Linked DNA regions of Anolis sagrei. The protein of the gene in region 2 purifies or fractionates together with the protein of the main gene of each other region. This does not show direct contact. Links are inferred from orthologs where the notes say so. Each region holds a gene or a part of one and is shown on either strand. Other genes may lie near its edges. The genes, in order: EIF4A1, IBTK and RPP25L.

What was found.
Region 1: the proteins of IBTK (region 2) and EIF4A1 purify together in Homo sapiens (co-immunoprecipitation; 4 studies listed by BioGRID and IntAct, counting the BioPlex papers as one, with this or other methods). This does not show direct contact. The link is inferred for Anolis sagrei from reciprocal best matches to the Homo sapiens genes IBTK and EIF4A1.
Region 3: the proteins of IBTK (region 2) and RPP25L purify together in Homo sapiens (co-immunoprecipitation; 3 studies listed by BioGRID and IntAct, with this or other methods). This does not show direct contact. The link is inferred for Anolis sagrei from reciprocal best matches to the Homo sapiens genes IBTK and RPP25L.

The regions. Positions count from the first base shown.
Region 1 is NC_090026.1:3,281,058-3,286,436, reverse strand, and holds the start of EIF4A1 (eukaryotic initiation factor 4A-I), read left to right. Parts: upstream 1-2,150; 5' UTR 2,151-2,202; coding exon 2,203-2,225; intron 2,226-5,379. UniProt on the Homo sapiens protein: ATP-dependent RNA helicase which is a subunit of the eIF4F complex involved in cap recognition and is required for mRNA binding to ribosome.
Region 2 is NC_090021.1:108,202,811-108,208,189, forward strand, and holds the start of IBTK (inhibitor of Bruton tyrosine kinase), read left to right. Parts: upstream 1-1,736; 5' UTR 1,737-1,998; intron 1,999-5,379. UniProt on the Homo sapiens protein: Acts as an inhibitor of BTK tyrosine kinase activity, thereby playing a role in B-cell development. Down-regulates BTK kinase activity, leading to interference with BTK-mediated calcium mobilization and NF-kappa-B-driven transcription.
Region 3 is NC_090022.1:300,717,954-300,723,332, forward strand, and holds the start of RPP25L (ribonuclease P protein subunit p25-like protein), read left to right. Parts: upstream 1-1,399; 5' UTR 1,400-1,481; intron 1,482-3,943; 5' UTR 3,944-3,951; coding exon 3,952-4,509; 3' UTR 4,510-5,379. UniProt on the Homo sapiens protein: May be a component of ribonuclease P or MRP.

The DNA.
Region 1 (5,379 bases), on a different chromosome or scaffold from region 2:
CAAGCAAATTAAAATAAAACATAGACAATAAAATATACAACATTATCAATAAGACAACACACAATTAAACAGTGGGAAGGCCAAATGTAAAATTAAAATTGGAAGTAATGTTGCAATGGACCAGATTGATTAGCATTGAATGGCCTTGCACTGTCAAAGCCTGCCTGGGGGAATCCTTTGTTGGGACGTGTTAGCTGGCCCTGATTGGGTTAGCTGGGCTTGCTATAGGTGTGGATGAAACGTCAGGAAGGAGAATGCTTCCTGACAGACCAGAAAACTCACAACAACCCTTTAAACACAAGCTTTCACTCCAGAAATTAAAATTGAAATCAGGGAGGATGCTGTTGCTGCCACTCTCCATCCCAGCACTCTATTTCTATAGAGGCCAACTACAAGCATATTATGCACTACCCCTTGAGTACTATAACTCCCAGGATTCCGACCATAAAAGCCTTCGACAACACATTGGCCAAAGAGTATTGACCAGTGGCTCTCTTTCGTCCTGGAGAAAAGTGACCAGTGGTATAGACCACATTGGGGTTGTCTCCTGCTGTTAGGAATTGTGGGAGTTGAAGTCCAAAACACCTGGAGGGAGAGCCGAAGTCGGCCCATGCCTGCATTAAAAGGCACATCTACACTGTAACACTAATACAGTTTGATACCTCTGGAGTCCTGGGGAGTGTAGTTTGGTGAGAGAAAGCTCAAGGCCTTGGGAAACTACAACTCCCAGAACCCCATAGCATAGAGCTATGGGCATTTGAAAGGCTATCATGCTGGATTGGAAAAGAATGGGAACCCTTTCCCATGCTGATGTTGGACTACAATTCCCAGAATCCCCCAGAAGATCCTGGGAATTGTAGTTCCTATTTGCAACAATTCCTATTTGGACTACAATTCCCAGAATCCCCCACTTCCTATTTGGACTACAATTCCCAGAATCCCCCAGAAGATCCTATTTGCAACAATTCCTATTTGGACTACAATTCTCAGAATCCCTCAGTTCCTATTTGGACTACAATTCCCAGAATCCCCCAGAAGATCCTGGGAATTGTAGTTCCTATTTGCAACCATTCCTATTTGGACTACAATTTCCAGAACCCCCCAGAAGATCCTGGGAATTGTAGTTCCTATTTGCAACAATTCCTATTCGGACTACAATTCCTATTTGGACTACAATTCCCAGAATCCCCCGTTCCTATTTGGACTACAATTCCCAGAATCACCCAGTTCCTATTTGGACTACAATTCCCAGAATCCCCCAGAAGATCCTGGGAATTGTAGTTCCTATTTGCAACAATTCCTATTTGGAGTACAATTCCCAGAATCCCCCAGAAGATCCTGGGAATTGTAGTTCCTATTTGCAACAATTCCTATTCGGACTACAATTCCTATTTGGACTACAATTCCCAGAATCCCCCGGAAAGATCCTGGGATTTGTAGTTCCTTTTTGCAACAATTTCTATTTGGAGTACATTCCCAGAATCCCCCAGTTCCTATTTGGACTACAATTCCCAGAATCCCCCAGAAGATCCTGGGAATTGCAGTTCCTATTTGCAACAATTCCTATTCGGACTACAATTCCTATTTGGACTACAATTCCCAGAAACCCCCAGTTCCCATTTGAACTACAATTCCCAGAATCCCCCAGTTCCCATTTGGACTACAATTCCCAGAATCCCCCGGAAGATCCTGGGAATTGTAGTTCCTATTTGCAACGACTGGAACCCTTCCTAATTTGGCCCCCCACAAAGAAGGGCCTCTCCACCACGTGGGCTTTTTCCTCTCCTGGCCTGCTTTGGGGCCTACTCCTTCCTCCTCGCCTCCCATTGGCTACCTCCTTTCCCGCCCCTTCCTGACAGGCGCGGCGGAGAGCCAATCAGCGTCGCCTTTCTCCTCCTTGACGTCACGTCTCCAGCTTTCTCAGTAAGCCCCGCCACTTTGACGTCACCCAGTTCCGGCGATTCAACCAATCAGCGCGAGTCTCCGTCAACGCCTGACGCGGGGTGTGTTTTTTTTTTAACAGGGCAGCCAATCAGAGAGAAGCCGGTCTAGCTGACGGGCAGTGCGATGGTCCAATAGGAGGAGGGGAAACAAGGGGCGGGACTTAGCCTGCGGGCCAATAAGGGAGGGGCCGGTGGGCGGGACTAGGCGGCTGTTATAAGGTGGAGTGAAGCGGGCGGGGCTAGGACCTTTCTGCCCAGAATGTCTGCGAGTCAAGAGAGCCGGTGAGTGAGCGCGAGGGAAGGCTCTTCCCTTCTCCCCCTCCCCCCCCCTCCGCGCTAGGCCGCGGCTGTTCCTTCTTCCTTCCATCCTCCCTCCGCGGTGGAACAAACCATTTCCGCAGTAGGTGGGATAATATTAGAAATCCCTCGTTATTCCTATTTTAACAATCCTGGGTGTTATTATTTTGCTTTTGTTTCATTTTCGTGACCTTTTTTTCATCCTTTGGCCTTAAGTTCCCTTTTCTTCCTGACCACGTGGCCGATTCCTTTCCCTCCCGCTTTCCCCCCCTAAAAACGGATTGGACTCTCCCTCGCCCTTTTAGTCCCTTATGGACCTCTGGGCGGAACCATTTCCTTTCCGGGGGTGGTGGTGAGAAAAAATAGAGGAGAGGTAGGCCTCGAGCGTTGGCGCGGCCTTCGCCTTGGCCTATCTCCTCGGCGCCATTTCGCGCATCGAGGGCGCTCTCAGTGGAGTTGCAATCCCACCTCGCCCCGCATTTCGCGCACCCACTTCACCCCCATTTTTGAAATAGTTTCGTCCCTTCCTTTTGCTTTCCTACATGGCGGACGAATCCATTTAATTTCGAGGGTGCCCTTAGTGGAGTTGCAATCCTCCCCATTTCTAAAATAGTTTCGTCCCTCCCGTTGATTTCCTACATGGCGGACGAATCCATTAAATTTCGAGGGTGCCCTTAGTGGAATTGCGACCCCCCTCCATTTCTAAAATAGTTTCGTCCCTCCCGTTGGCTTCCTACATGGCGGACGAGTCCATTTAATTTCCGAGGGGGGTTGTTTATTATTTTTAAATTGTATTTTCCACTTTTTTTCGTGGAATGTGCACGGCGTCGCTTCTCCTTTCCCCCACGCGAGGAGCCATTTTGCGTCTCGTTCTTACACAACTTTCTCGTTCTTACACAATGGTTCCTTTCCCCCCATTTCCAACTCTTAACCCCCCCTTCCCGGAACATTTGGTATTTCCCAGCGCCGTGTTTCTTTGGGGCGCTTGGGCGAGACGATTCCTTTATACCGGGGGATCCTCATTTCCAACTCTTAACCCCTCCCGGAATATTTGGAATGTACCAGCGCCTTGTTTCTTTGGGACGCTTGGGAGAGACCATTCCTTTATAGGGCGAGACCCTCGTTTCCAACTGTAATCCCCCCTCCTGGAGGATTTGGTATATCCCAGTGCCTTGTTACTTTGGGTCGCTTGGACGAGACCATTCCTTTATACGGGGAACACTCAGGCGAACCTATTCCCGATCCCCCAACTCTACCGACCCCTCCCGAAACACTTGGTATTTCCCAGCGCCTTGTTTCTTTGGGACGCTTGGGCGACACCATTCCTATATACGGGGGACCCCTCATTTCCAACTCTAATCGCCCCTCCCGGAACATTTGGTGAATCCCAGTGCCTTGTTTCTTTGGGACGCTTGGGCGAGACCATTCCTTTAAACGGGGGACGCTCAGGCGAACCTATTCCCGATCCCCCAACTCTACCCACCCCTCCCGAAACACTTGGTATTTCCCAGCGTCTTGTTTCTTAGGGACGCTTGGGCGAGACCATTCCTTTTTAGGAGGACGCTCAGTTCGACCCCTTCCGCCATTCTCCAATGAGAAAACCCATTTTCCACCTCTTCGTTGGAAATCATTTCTTTGGGTCGCTTGGGCGAGACCATTCCCTTAATGGGGAGGCACGCTAAGGCGAAACCATTCCCGAATTCCTTCTCTAATGGGGAAATCCAATTAGTTGGAAATTGTGAATCCTAGAATCTCCTTTTCCCATCTCTATTCTCGAATGGGAAATTCCATTAGTTGTGAATCCTAGAATCTCCTTATTTTCCCCTCCCCCCCCCCTTTTTTTGGGCGCGTCCATTTTTTCCTCTCTCCTTCCATTGCCCATTGTCCTGCCGCTCTGCATCCGGGAACTTTTCGGCTGCCCGTGACGTCACGCGGCCCCCGTGGCCGCAGGCGAGCAAAAAAGGGCGGGGCCTCGCTGGCCTTATAAGGAAATTCCGGAAGTGGGAGGCGCCGCAGAGGCCTCGAGCCCCGCGCGCTGGGAAAAGACCCGGATGTCAGGAAGGAAGGGCGCGAGGCCGGCGGAACTTCCGGTCTGGGAGGCCCAAAATGGTGTTTTCGGGTCAAAAATGGCGGCAGAGCTGTGTTGCCACCTTCGAGGGCCAACTATATCGATGGGAGAAACATAATTCAAGAGACTGAAGGCCCTGGGGGTGTTTTGGACTCCAATTTCCATCATTCCCAGCAGCCTCAGAACTTTTTCAGCCAAATTGGGCCCTGGGGGTGTTTTGGACTCCAACTCCCATCATTCCTAGCAGCCTCAGGCCTTTTCCTTTTCCCCTCAGCCGATATTCCACAGATATATCATAGAATCATAGACTCAAAGAATTGGAAGAGACCTCCTGGGCCATCCAGTCCAACCCCATTCAGCCAAGAAGCAGGAATATTGCATTCAAATCACCCCTGACAGATGGCCATCCGGCCTCTGTTTAAAAGCTTCCAAAGAAGGAGCCTCCACCACACTCCGGGGCAGAGAATTCCACTGCTGAACGGCTCTCACAGTCAGGAAGTTCTTCTTCATGTTCAGATGGAATTTATTAACATAAAAGCTCAAAAAATACAATATATCATAGAAATCATAAAACACTAACATATAAATACATTCAATAAGCTGTTAAAAACAGTACACATAGACCTGAAAACACTCCAGAAGCCGTTCCAAAACACTAACATATAAATACATTCATTAAGCTGTTAAAAACAGTACACATAGACCTGAAAACACTCCAGAAGCCGTTCCAATCGCAACGCCGTCACTTCGTAGCTGCCTATAGCCCTGTGCTACACTCCAAATGCCTGGTTCCATAACCAGTTTTTAACTTCCTTTCTAAAGGATAGGAGGGGAGGGCACAATACAATACGTATGTGCAGATTGTCCAGACAGGAAAATAGAAGATAAGGAATTGACAAGAATGTAGCCTTGATCTTAAAAGGAGAAAAAACAATGGCCTGATGGAAAAGCAATATAATTGCACCAAAGATAATAACATTGTATAGAAACAATGATGACAATGGTAATAACTGAGAGGCTGAGGGGGGAAAGGAAAGGGCCTGAGGCTGTTAGGAATGGTGGGAGTTGAAG
Region 2 (5,379 bases):
GTTATAGATAGGTTTGAAGTAGTTTCTCTGTGCAGATAACACAGGGCATCTTTCTTAGAATCAAACAGCAACAGCTTTACATTCTGAAAGTCTCATGAAGTCTCAGTCTGAATAGTCCCAGATCTGATCACATGGTCTGCAGCCCCTCCCACAACCTCAAACAACATTAGAGTAAGCAATCTGAATTATACCTTAAGAAATGGGGCTACAAAGTGGAATCCACGACATGCGAGTGTGGAGAAGAGCAAACCCCAGACCACCTGCTGCAATGCAACCTGAGCCCTGCTACATGCACAATGGAGGCCCTCCTTGCGGCAACACCAGAGGCACTCCACGTGGCCAGATACTGGTCAAAGGACATGTAATTAACTACCAAGCTTGCAAACTTTGTGTTTTGTCTGTTTTGTTTGTTTGTTTTGTTAAAAATGTAATACAACTGTCTGGTTGCTCCTGACACGATAAATAAATAAACAAACAAATAAATCTGAATTATATACATAACTAATCACTAGTATAGGAGGCTTGTAGAAAGTTGCTATTTCCAACACTTCGAGGGACTTAACTTAAGAAGTTTGGGGGACCCTGCTGTAAAACTAACACAATTTGACAGCCATGGCTCAAGACTATGGGATCGTGGGAGTTATAGTTTCCGAAGCATCACCATTCTTTGGCAGGGATGGCTAAAAACTTTGTAACATTTGTCGAATTTTCTTAGGGCCCTTCCACATCCCCATATAACTCAGAATATGAAGGCAGAATAACCCACAATATCTGCTTTGAACTGAGGGCCCTTCCACACAGCCCTATATCCCAGAATATCAAAGGAGAAAATCCCATATTATTTGAGTGTGGACTCAGATATTCCAGTTCAAAGCAGATGTTGTGGGATTTTCTGCCTTGATATTCTGGGATATACGGTTGTGTGGAAGGGCCCTTGTCCAGAGGAGGGCGACTAAAATGATCAAGGGTCTGGAGAGCAAGCCCTATGAGGAGCGGCTTAAGGAGCTGCGCATGTTTAGCCTGAAGAAGAGAAGGCTGAGAGGAGATATGATAGCCATGTATAAATATGTGAGAGGAAGCCACAGGGAGGAGGGAGCAAACTTGTTTTCTGCTTCCCTGGAGACTAGGATGCGGTACAATGGCTTCAAACTACAAGAAAGGAGATTCCATCTGAACATGAGGAAGAACTTCCTGACTGTGAGAGCCCTTCAGCAGTGGAACTCTCTGCCCCGGAGTGTGGTGGAGGCTCCTTCTTTGGAAGCTTTTAAACAGAGGCTGGATGGCCATCTGTCAGGGGTGATTTGAATGCAATATTCCTGCTTCTTGGCAGGGGGGTTGGACTGGATGGTCCATGAGGTCTCTTCCAACTCTTTGATTCTATGATTCTCTGCCAGAGTGATGGTCCATTCCCAAACTACAAATCTCACGATTCCATTAATTAACACTGAGCTAGAGCAGTGAAAGTGTTGTCAAACCGCATCCACTGTACAATGCAGATGGCTCCTTATACTTTCACTGCCATGGGGCCAGGAAGCTTTTGGGCCTCCTTAAAAGAGAGGAGGTAGCCATGGCAACGGTATGTGATGGAGCTTTTGGATTCAGAGCCGCTGAGGGGAGGATAAGCCCCGCCCCTTTTCTGTGCCTAGCCCCTCCCCTTGTCCTCCCTTCCCCTCTCAGTCCCTTTTTTGACTCTTGGCAGCTTCCAGCCAATCGGCGTTGGGGAAACTCCGCGCCAATCGCGTGTCCGCTTGCTTCCGGGTCTGGGCGCCTCCTCTCTTGCTGGGTTGCAGCCGTGGCGGCTTCCTTCTCGGGCCCTGTCAGACTGGGCAGCATCGGCCCCTGTCTTCCCCGCCTCCAGCCCGGCCTTCTTCTCCTTTTCCTCCTGCTCTTTCTCCTCCTGGCTGGGCCCGGAGCCCTTCGGCGCCACTGAGCATGAGCTTCCCCGCCTCCCTCCGCAGCCCCGCTGACGACCGCCCGAGCCCATTCATCTAGCGACTGGTGAGGGCTGAAGGGAGTTGGGGGGGGGGGGGCTGTGGGGGAGGCATGGCTCAAGACCCCTGGGATTTGTAGTTTGCCAGAGGTGGATAAAAGCCTTGCAGAACTATAACTCCCAGGAGCCCATACTCTTAAGGGGTGATCAAATTATTCATTCTATACTATTCAGCGAAGGCCTGGGCAACCTTCGACCCTCTAGGTCAGTGGTTCTCAACCTGTGGGTCCCCAGATGCTTTGGCCTTCAACTCCCAGAAATCCTAGCAGCTGGTAAACTGGCTGGGATTTCTGGGAGTTGTAGGCCAAAACACCTGGGCACCCACAGGTTGAGAACCACTGCTCTAGGTGTTTTGGACTTCAACTCCCACCATTCCTAGGCATTGTGGGAGTTGAAGTCCAAAACACCTGGAGGGCCAAAGATTGCCCAGGCCTGGCAAAGAAGAAGGAGGCAGCCAGGACTTTGTACAAGGCTTTGGGGGAAAAGAATAAACACAGACTTCAGAATTAGAAATATTGCACTTTTAACCCAATGTGTAACCTGAGCATTCATGTAGCTTGGCTGTATAATTATCTGGATGATGCCACCACATGATAGAAGTAAACAGCTGTTAAGGATATGCTGGTGACCAAAAAGATGAGTCTCCAAGCTGAGAAAGGTTCAAAGTCTACAGAGAGGCAAAATTGTTATCGCTTTAACTTGAATCTAATGCTCAGCTTTTTGGACTAAAATTAGGGTGCTCAATAGATTTGTGCAATACAGTAATCTTTGGGCCCTTTTAGACAGGCCCCACACCCCAGGACCGAATCTCAGATTTTCTGCTTTAAACTGGATTATATGAGTCTACACTGCCATATAATCTGGGATAAAAAGAAAACCTGGGATCAAATCCTGGGATATAGGGCCTGTTTGTAAGGGCCCATTGTGCCGAGTCAAAGCAAAAGGGGAAGCTGTTTCAGAGGGCCCTTCCAGACAGGCCCTATATTCCAGGATCTAATCCCAGGTTGTCGGTTTATCCCACATTATCTTGCAGTGCGGAGTCATATAATCCATTTTAAAGCAGAAAACCTGGGATCAAATCCTGGGATATAGGGCCCGTCTGGAAGGGCCCAGAGACACCCGGAGCTCCTATTTGAGGGATGCCATTTCAAATTTTATGGCCGTGGTTCAATGCTCTGCAAATCCTGGGCTTTGTAGTTTGGTGAGCCACCAGCATTCTTTGGCAGAGAAACTTGCAAAACTACATGATTTCATAACATTGAGCTATGGTCAGTGTTTATTTGGTTCTGCATGTTTCTTCCAGTTCAACTGAGCCATTCAGATTTAACTACATTGAACTGGATTATATAGAAGTGTAGATTCAACCTGTAATCCAGTTTAAGACAATTAATCTGAATTCAGAAACTGGATTATATGGCAGTGTAGATTTCTTCTAGTTTAAGAAGTTCTGCTTTAGATTTCATCATCATAAATGCTGGACTTAAGCAAGGCTCACTGCTCTTTTCTTAGGCAGTGAACACTGAATTTCTCCAGAAGTCTTTGCATTGTAATATCTGGAAGATACTGTATTTACTCCAATCTAATGCTCACCTTTTTTTGGCTAAATTTCCTTCCCAAAATTAGATTTGTGTAGTATTCACCTGCAGCTCCTATTTGAGGGACATCATGTTTAATTTAATTTAATGCAATGCTGGGATTTGTAGTTTGGTGTGGCATCAACATTCTTTGGCAGCCCCCATTATCCCATACTATAGCCCCCATGAAACCATAGTATTGAACCAAGGAAGTTAAAGTAGATTCATTCTACAGCATAGATGCACTCCAAGGTTTCCCTTTCCATCTCTGGAAGCTTTGATATTCCAACACTTTTGTTTTTAAGGGTTTTGAAAATAGAGGTGTGCATTAGATTTGATGATGCCATAGACTCGTTTATTTATTTATTTATTTATTTATTTATTTATCGTGTCATCAGCAACCATACCATTGTATTACAATTCTAACAGAGCAAAACAAACATATAGATTAAAAAGAAAAGGAAAAAAAGAAAAGAAAACACACAGATTTTGCAAATTTGGTAGTTGGTCAAATGTCCTTTGACCAGTATCTGGCCACTTGGAGTGCCTCTGGTGTTGCCGCAAGAAGGTCCTCCATTGTGCATGTGGCAGGGCTCAGGGTGCATTGCAGCAGGTGGTCAGTGGTTTGTTCTTCTCTGCACTCGCATGCCGAGGATTCCTGTTTGTCACGAGCCATAGACAAATGTATGTTCCTTCTCAACCGGGCTTTGGACAGCTCTGTGGGAGGCAGACATTCAGTAGGTATAGATCTGCACAGTTTTGGGAAAGTAGAGCTGTATGAGTTGAACTTTTATACTTCATATGATATGGGTTTATCATTTGCATTTCATCTAGTTTCTTGAAATTTGTAGAAATTATGCCTGGAAGATGAGGATTAATGTCAACAAATATGAGAAGAAGGAGGAAAAACAGTAAACAGTGGTCCTAGAAAGCCTGGTACAGGTTGAACAGCCCATATCTTGAAATCTGAAATGCTCTGAAATTGTCCAGATGGGTGTCTGAGATAGTTGCACCTTTGGTTTCTGATGGTTCACAACATTCAAGCCTTGTTTTATTCACAAAATGATTAAAAACACCATATATAAAATTATGAGTCAAGGCTCCCTTATATTGAATTCTGAAATGCTCTAAAATCCAAAATTGTTCACATGGGTGGCTGAGGTACTGTCACCTTCAAATTGTCAACCTACTAATAATGGCACCTTTGTTTTTTTGATAGTTCACAGTACACAAACATCGTATCATGCACAAAATTATTAAAAATACCAGGCTGACCTTCTCTTATCCAGAATGCCGAAATATTTCAAGTTGTCAACTTGAGAATAATGAAACTGTTGCTTTCGGATGGTTTAAAGTACACAACTTTATTTCATGCATAGAATTTTTATCATATATGAAACGTAAATGAATTTAGTGTTTAGCCTTTAGTTCCATCTTCAAGTTATATAATGTATATATGTGTAAATGCAGATATTCCAAAATCCAAAAAGATCACAAACACTTCTGGCCCCAAGAATGTTGGATAAAGCACAATCATTCTATATCTTCAAGCTATGTGTGAAAGATGTTTATGAACCATAAATAGGTTTTGCATTTAAAACATGGGTCCCATCTCCAAGATAACTCATGGATGTTAACTTATTATGTACTAGCTGTCCCCTGCCACGCATTGCTGTTGCCCAGTCTGTGTATATGTGTTTTGTGTATGTATGTGTGTATATATGTGGTTTTGTTCATGCATTGTAATGTATTTTTTATTTTTTTGGTTTTTAAGTCTCTTTTGCTGTGTTTTCCAGTGTTTTTATGAGTGATGGT
Region 3 (5,379 bases), on a different chromosome or scaffold from region 2:
GAGAAGGGAGGAGAGAAGGGAGGAGATAAAGAAGGAAAGAAAGAAGGGTAGAGAAGGAAGGAGGGAGAGAAAGAGGGAAGGAGAGAAGGAAGGAAAGAAGATAGGGTAGAGAAGGAAGGAAGGAGAGGAGGGAAAGAAGGAAGGGAGGAGATAAGGAAAGAAGGAAGAGTAGGGAAGGAAGGAGGGAGGGAGGGAGAGAAAGGGAAGGAGAGAAGGAAGGAGAAAAGGGAGGAGATAAAGAAGGAAAGAAAGAAGGGTAGAGAAGGAAGGAGGGAGAGAAAGAGGGAAGGAGAGAAGGAAGGAAAGAAGGAAGGGTAGAGAAGGAAGGAAGAAGAGAAGGAGGGAAAGAAGGGAGGAAGGAGATAAAGAAGGAAAGAAGGAAGGGTAGAGAAGGAAGGAGGGAGAGAAAAAGGGAAGGAGAGAAGGAAGGAAAGAAGGAAGGGTAGAGAAGAAAGGAAGGAGAGAGAGAAAGAAGAAGGAGAGAAGGAAGGAAAGAAGGAAGGAAGAAGAGAAGGAGGGAAAGAAGGAAGAGAGGAGATAAAGAAGGAAAGAAAGAAGGGCAGAGAAGGAAGGAAGGAGAGAAGGAGGGAAGGAAGAGAGGAGATAAAGAAGGAAAGAAAGAAGGGCAGAGAAGGAAGGAAGGAGAGAAGGAGGGAGAAAAAAGAGGGAAAGGAGGGAAGGGGAGAAGGAAAGAAAGAAAGGTAGAGAAGGAAGGAAGGGAGAGAAAGAGGGAAAGAAGGAGGGAAGGAGAGAAAGAAGGAAGAAAGGAGAGAAGGAGGGAATGAAATAAAAAAGTGAAAGAGGGAAGGAAGGAGAGAAGGAATAAAAGAGAGAAAGAAGGAAGGAAGGAAGGAAGGAGAGAAAGAAGGAGGGAAGAAGAGAAAGAAGGAAGGAAGGAGAGAAAGAGAGAATGAAATAAAAAAATGAAAGAGGGGAGGAAGGAGAGAAGGAATAAAAGAGAGAAAGGGGAAGGGAAGGAAGGAAAGAGAGAAGGATGGAACCAAAGAGCAAAGGAAGCGAGGAAAGAAACAGCTAGAGAAGGAAGAAAGAAGAAGGGAAAGAAAAAGAGGGATGAAAGGAAGGAGAGAAAGAAAGGAGGAGAGAAAGAGGGAGGGAAGGTTGGCCATAGCAAGGCATGGCAGGTATAGCTAGTGTCTTATAAAATCCAACAGAAATCATCTGAAATTTAGAATTAGGATTTTGAATTAAATTTCCCAACACGCCCCCTGGAGGCCGGCTGAGCAATGTACTCCTTCAACCGAGGGGCGTGGTCTTGCTTGGCGGTTCGTCCAATGGGAAGGCGGGGGCGGGGTTTCGCTCCTCGCTCTGCGCGGGGAAACCTCTCTTCCTGGCTTCTCCTCTGCGTCATAAGGAGGCGCCTGTGACGCGCATGCGCGGAAGAGCAGCCGGCTCTGTAGGAAGCAGGAGAGGCGCCATTTTTCCCTGAGCGCCCTCTGAGCAGGAAAGCAGGCAGGCAGCAGGTGAGCGGGAGCGGAGTGGGGCCTACACCATACCGAGAGAACTTGTTGTTATATTATTACTGTTATGTTTATTATTACCGTATGTTTTTTCTTTCCACAGAAGAGACTTCAAGTCTATATATAATCATAGAATCATAGTCCAACCCCATTCTGCCAAGAAGCAGGAATATTGCATTCAAATCACCCCTGACAGATGGCCGTCCAGCCTCTGTTTAAAAGTCTCCAAAGAAGGAGCCTCCACCACCATATAATATAATATATAATAATATAATATTATTAATAATATTATGCGTTTTTCCACAAAGGAGGCTCCAAGAGAGATATTGACTCTAAGCTGGAATGTGCCCAGAGGAGGGCGACTCAAATGATCAAGGGTCTGCAGAACAAGCCCTATGAGGAGCGGCTTAAGGAGTTGGGCATGTTTAGCCTGAAGAAGAGAAGGCTGAGAGGAGATATGATGAGGGCCATGTATAAATATGTGAGAGGAAGCCACAGGGAGCAGGGAGCAGATCAAGGGTCTGGAGAAGAAGCCCTATGAGGAGCGGCTTAAGGAGCTGAGCATGTTTAGCTTGAAGAAGAGAAAGATGAGAGGAGACATGATGAGGGCCATGTATAAATATGTGAGAGGAAGCCACAGGGAGCAGATCAAGGGTCTGGAGAACAAACCCTATGAGGAGCGGCTTAAGGAGCTGAGCTGAGCATGTTTAGCTTGAAGAAGAGAAGGCTGAGAGGAGATATGGTCAGCGCCATGTATAAATATGTCAGAAGAAGCCACAGGGAGGAGGAGGGAGCAAGCTTCCTTTCTGCTTCCCTGGAGACTGGGACGCAATGGAACAATGGCTTCAAATTACAGGAAAGGAGATTCCATCTGAACGTGAGGAAGAACTTCCTGACTGTGAGAGCCGTTCAGCAGTGGAACTCTCTGCCCCGGAGTGTGGTGGAGGCTCCTTCTTTGGAAGCTTTTAAGCAGAGGCTGGATGGCCATCTGTCAGGGGTGATTTGAATGCAATATTCCTGCTTCTTGGCAGAATGGGGTTGGACTGGATGGCCCAGGAGGTCTCTTCCAACTCTTTGATTCTATGATTCTATGAAACCTATATAATATATAATAATAATTTATTAATAATAACATGTTTATGTTTTTTTCCACAAAGGAGGCGCCAAACCTATATATATATATATATATATATATATATGAAACATTATAAAACATAATAAACATTGTGTGTGTGTATATATATTTATATGTTGTTTATTATGTTTTATGACGATGATTATATTTATTTATTATGATTATTTTCCACAAAGGAAGCTCCAAACCTATATATATGAAACATCATAAAGCATAATAAACATTGTGTATATGTGTGTGTGTGTATATATGTTGTTTATTATGTTTTATGACGATGATGATGTTTGTTTATTATGCTTTTTCTTTCCACAAAGGAAATTCCAAGCCAGTTTATTTATTATTATTTTTCCCACAAAGGAGGGTCCAAACCTCTATCTATCTATCTATCTATCTATCTATCTATCTATCTATAATAAACACTATATATATATATATATATATATATTGTTTATTATGTTTTATTATGATGATTTATTATGTTTTATGATGTTTCATATATGTGTGTGTGTGTGTGTGAAACATCATAAAACATAATAAACATTGTGTGTGTGTGTGTGTGTATATATATATATATTGTAATGTTTATAACAATGATTATGTTTATTTATTATGCTTTTTCTTTCCATAAAGGAAATTCCAAGCCAGTTTATTAATTACTATTTTTCCTACCAAGGAGGTTCCAAACCTATATATATATATATATAGTTTATTATGTTTTATTATGATTTATTATGTTTCATATGTGTGTGTGTGTGTGTGTGTGTGTGTGAAACATCATAAAACATAATAAACATTGTATGTGTGTATATGTGAATGACTCGGGACTATGTCTGTTCTTGTTTTTATTGTATTTTAAAGTTAATTGTATTGTTTTAATCTACTGCTGTAAACCGCTCCGAGCCAAATTGGGAGTAGCGGTATACAAGTCAAATAAATAAATATCTCTGTGTGTATATATATTTATATATTGTTTATTATGTTTATGACAATGATTATGTTTATTTATTATGCTTTTTCTTTCCTTTGTGGAAAGTCAGGAGGTGCTGTGGTTTTTAGCTTTAAATATGTTTTAATGGATTTTAACTGCAATTTTGTTAGTACCGTTACGTTTAATTCTGTTTTAATATTTGTATATTTTAAATTATGTGTTCATACTTTTAATGTAAGCCGCTTTGAGTCTCCTTTGGTAGAGATAAAGGGAGGTATATATAAACAACAACAACAATAATATGTATATATGCAAAATTCATATTGCTTGTCCTAGCATTAGACACTAACATTCTGATTAGATGTTTAAGTTTTCTTTTTCTTCTCTTTGCTTGATATCAAGTGTTGATCATGGAGAACTATCAGAAATCCAAAACGGTGGAGAAGCCTTCTCCTCTTCCTTTCGCCAACTTGCCCCCTGATATCATTGAGATGAAAGTGAAGGATGGCAGCAAAATCCGGAACCTGATGGGTTACGCCATCGGCAAGATGGAGTCCGAGGCCATGAGGCAGGTCCTCTTCAGCGGGGTGGGCAAAGCGATTAGCAAGACGATCACCTGCGTGGAGATCATGAAGCGGAGGATGAAGCACCTCCACCAGATCACCAAAGTGTTCTTCAAGCAAATAGAGGAGATTTGGGAACCCATCGTTCCGGAGGTTGGCCTCGACCCTTTGACGGTGAAGCGGAACATCCCTGCCATTTGTGTCCTGCTAAGCAAAGACCCCCTGGACACTCAAGCGCCGGGGTATCAAGCCCCGGGGTCCTTCGATGCCTTCTGGTTGGAGACGCTCAAGTCGGAATCTCAAGGCCAGGCCAAGAGGAAGCAGGGAGGAGGAGGGAGAGGGGCTGGCCGGACTGGGAAGCATCCTCGCTCCCTCGGACGGGAGGACTCCTACAAGAAGCCTTGAGGAAGCTGAGCTTCCGAGTGCCAGGAATTGTCTCCAGAACCAAGAAAAGCCAGATAGCTTTCACCTTAATGTTGGAAACAGTGAGAGTGGGAAGTTACATCGAGGGAGTGGGGGGAAAAGGGCAGGTGTGTCTGTTTGAACGCAAATACCAAGTCATATTGGATGGATTGAACATGAAGGTGTTCTAGCTTTGAGCCTTTCCCTTACAGAGAGTTTTCAGTTTACGTTTAGAAGCAGTGAGAGATGGAAGATATATTGGATAGAAGGGTCTGTCTGAATGTAAACACTAAGTTGTATTGGATGGATTGAAGTGGAAAGCCTCCTAGCTTTGGGTTTTTACCTTATGGGGGAAGCCTTCTTTGTATTACATAAAGTCTGTTCAGGAAAGGGATACTTGGAATAGTCGTGGAAAGGAAATGCAAGATATTCCTCAGTGGGAAGATGTCCCTCTCTCGTACAAGGATGGCTGATGGAGTCAGTTTTCCCCCTCCTGTTATCTGGTTGTTTTCTTGCCGTTGCAAGAGTCTTGCACTTTGCAATTTTGGTCAGATTCCCATATTATGGGACAACTTACTGGACACCCACTCCCAAATCATGAATTGTTTTGCTGTTACTATGAAACTTTTGCTAACTCCTTACAGCTTCTGGGAAGCTCAGTACTTGAAATAAGAAACTTAAACCTTCCTGGTCATTCAAGAAAGGAGAATCAAATCTTGATTTAGCATAAAGATAGGAAGGTGCTTGTCAGTTTTGCTGGGTTTTACTTATGTGATTGTGCCAAGGATCTGTCTTTTCATAAGTTAAAAAGACTCTTAACTATCTCAGAATCTTGTAAGAACTACTGATTGTGGGATTTGAAATCTATATAAA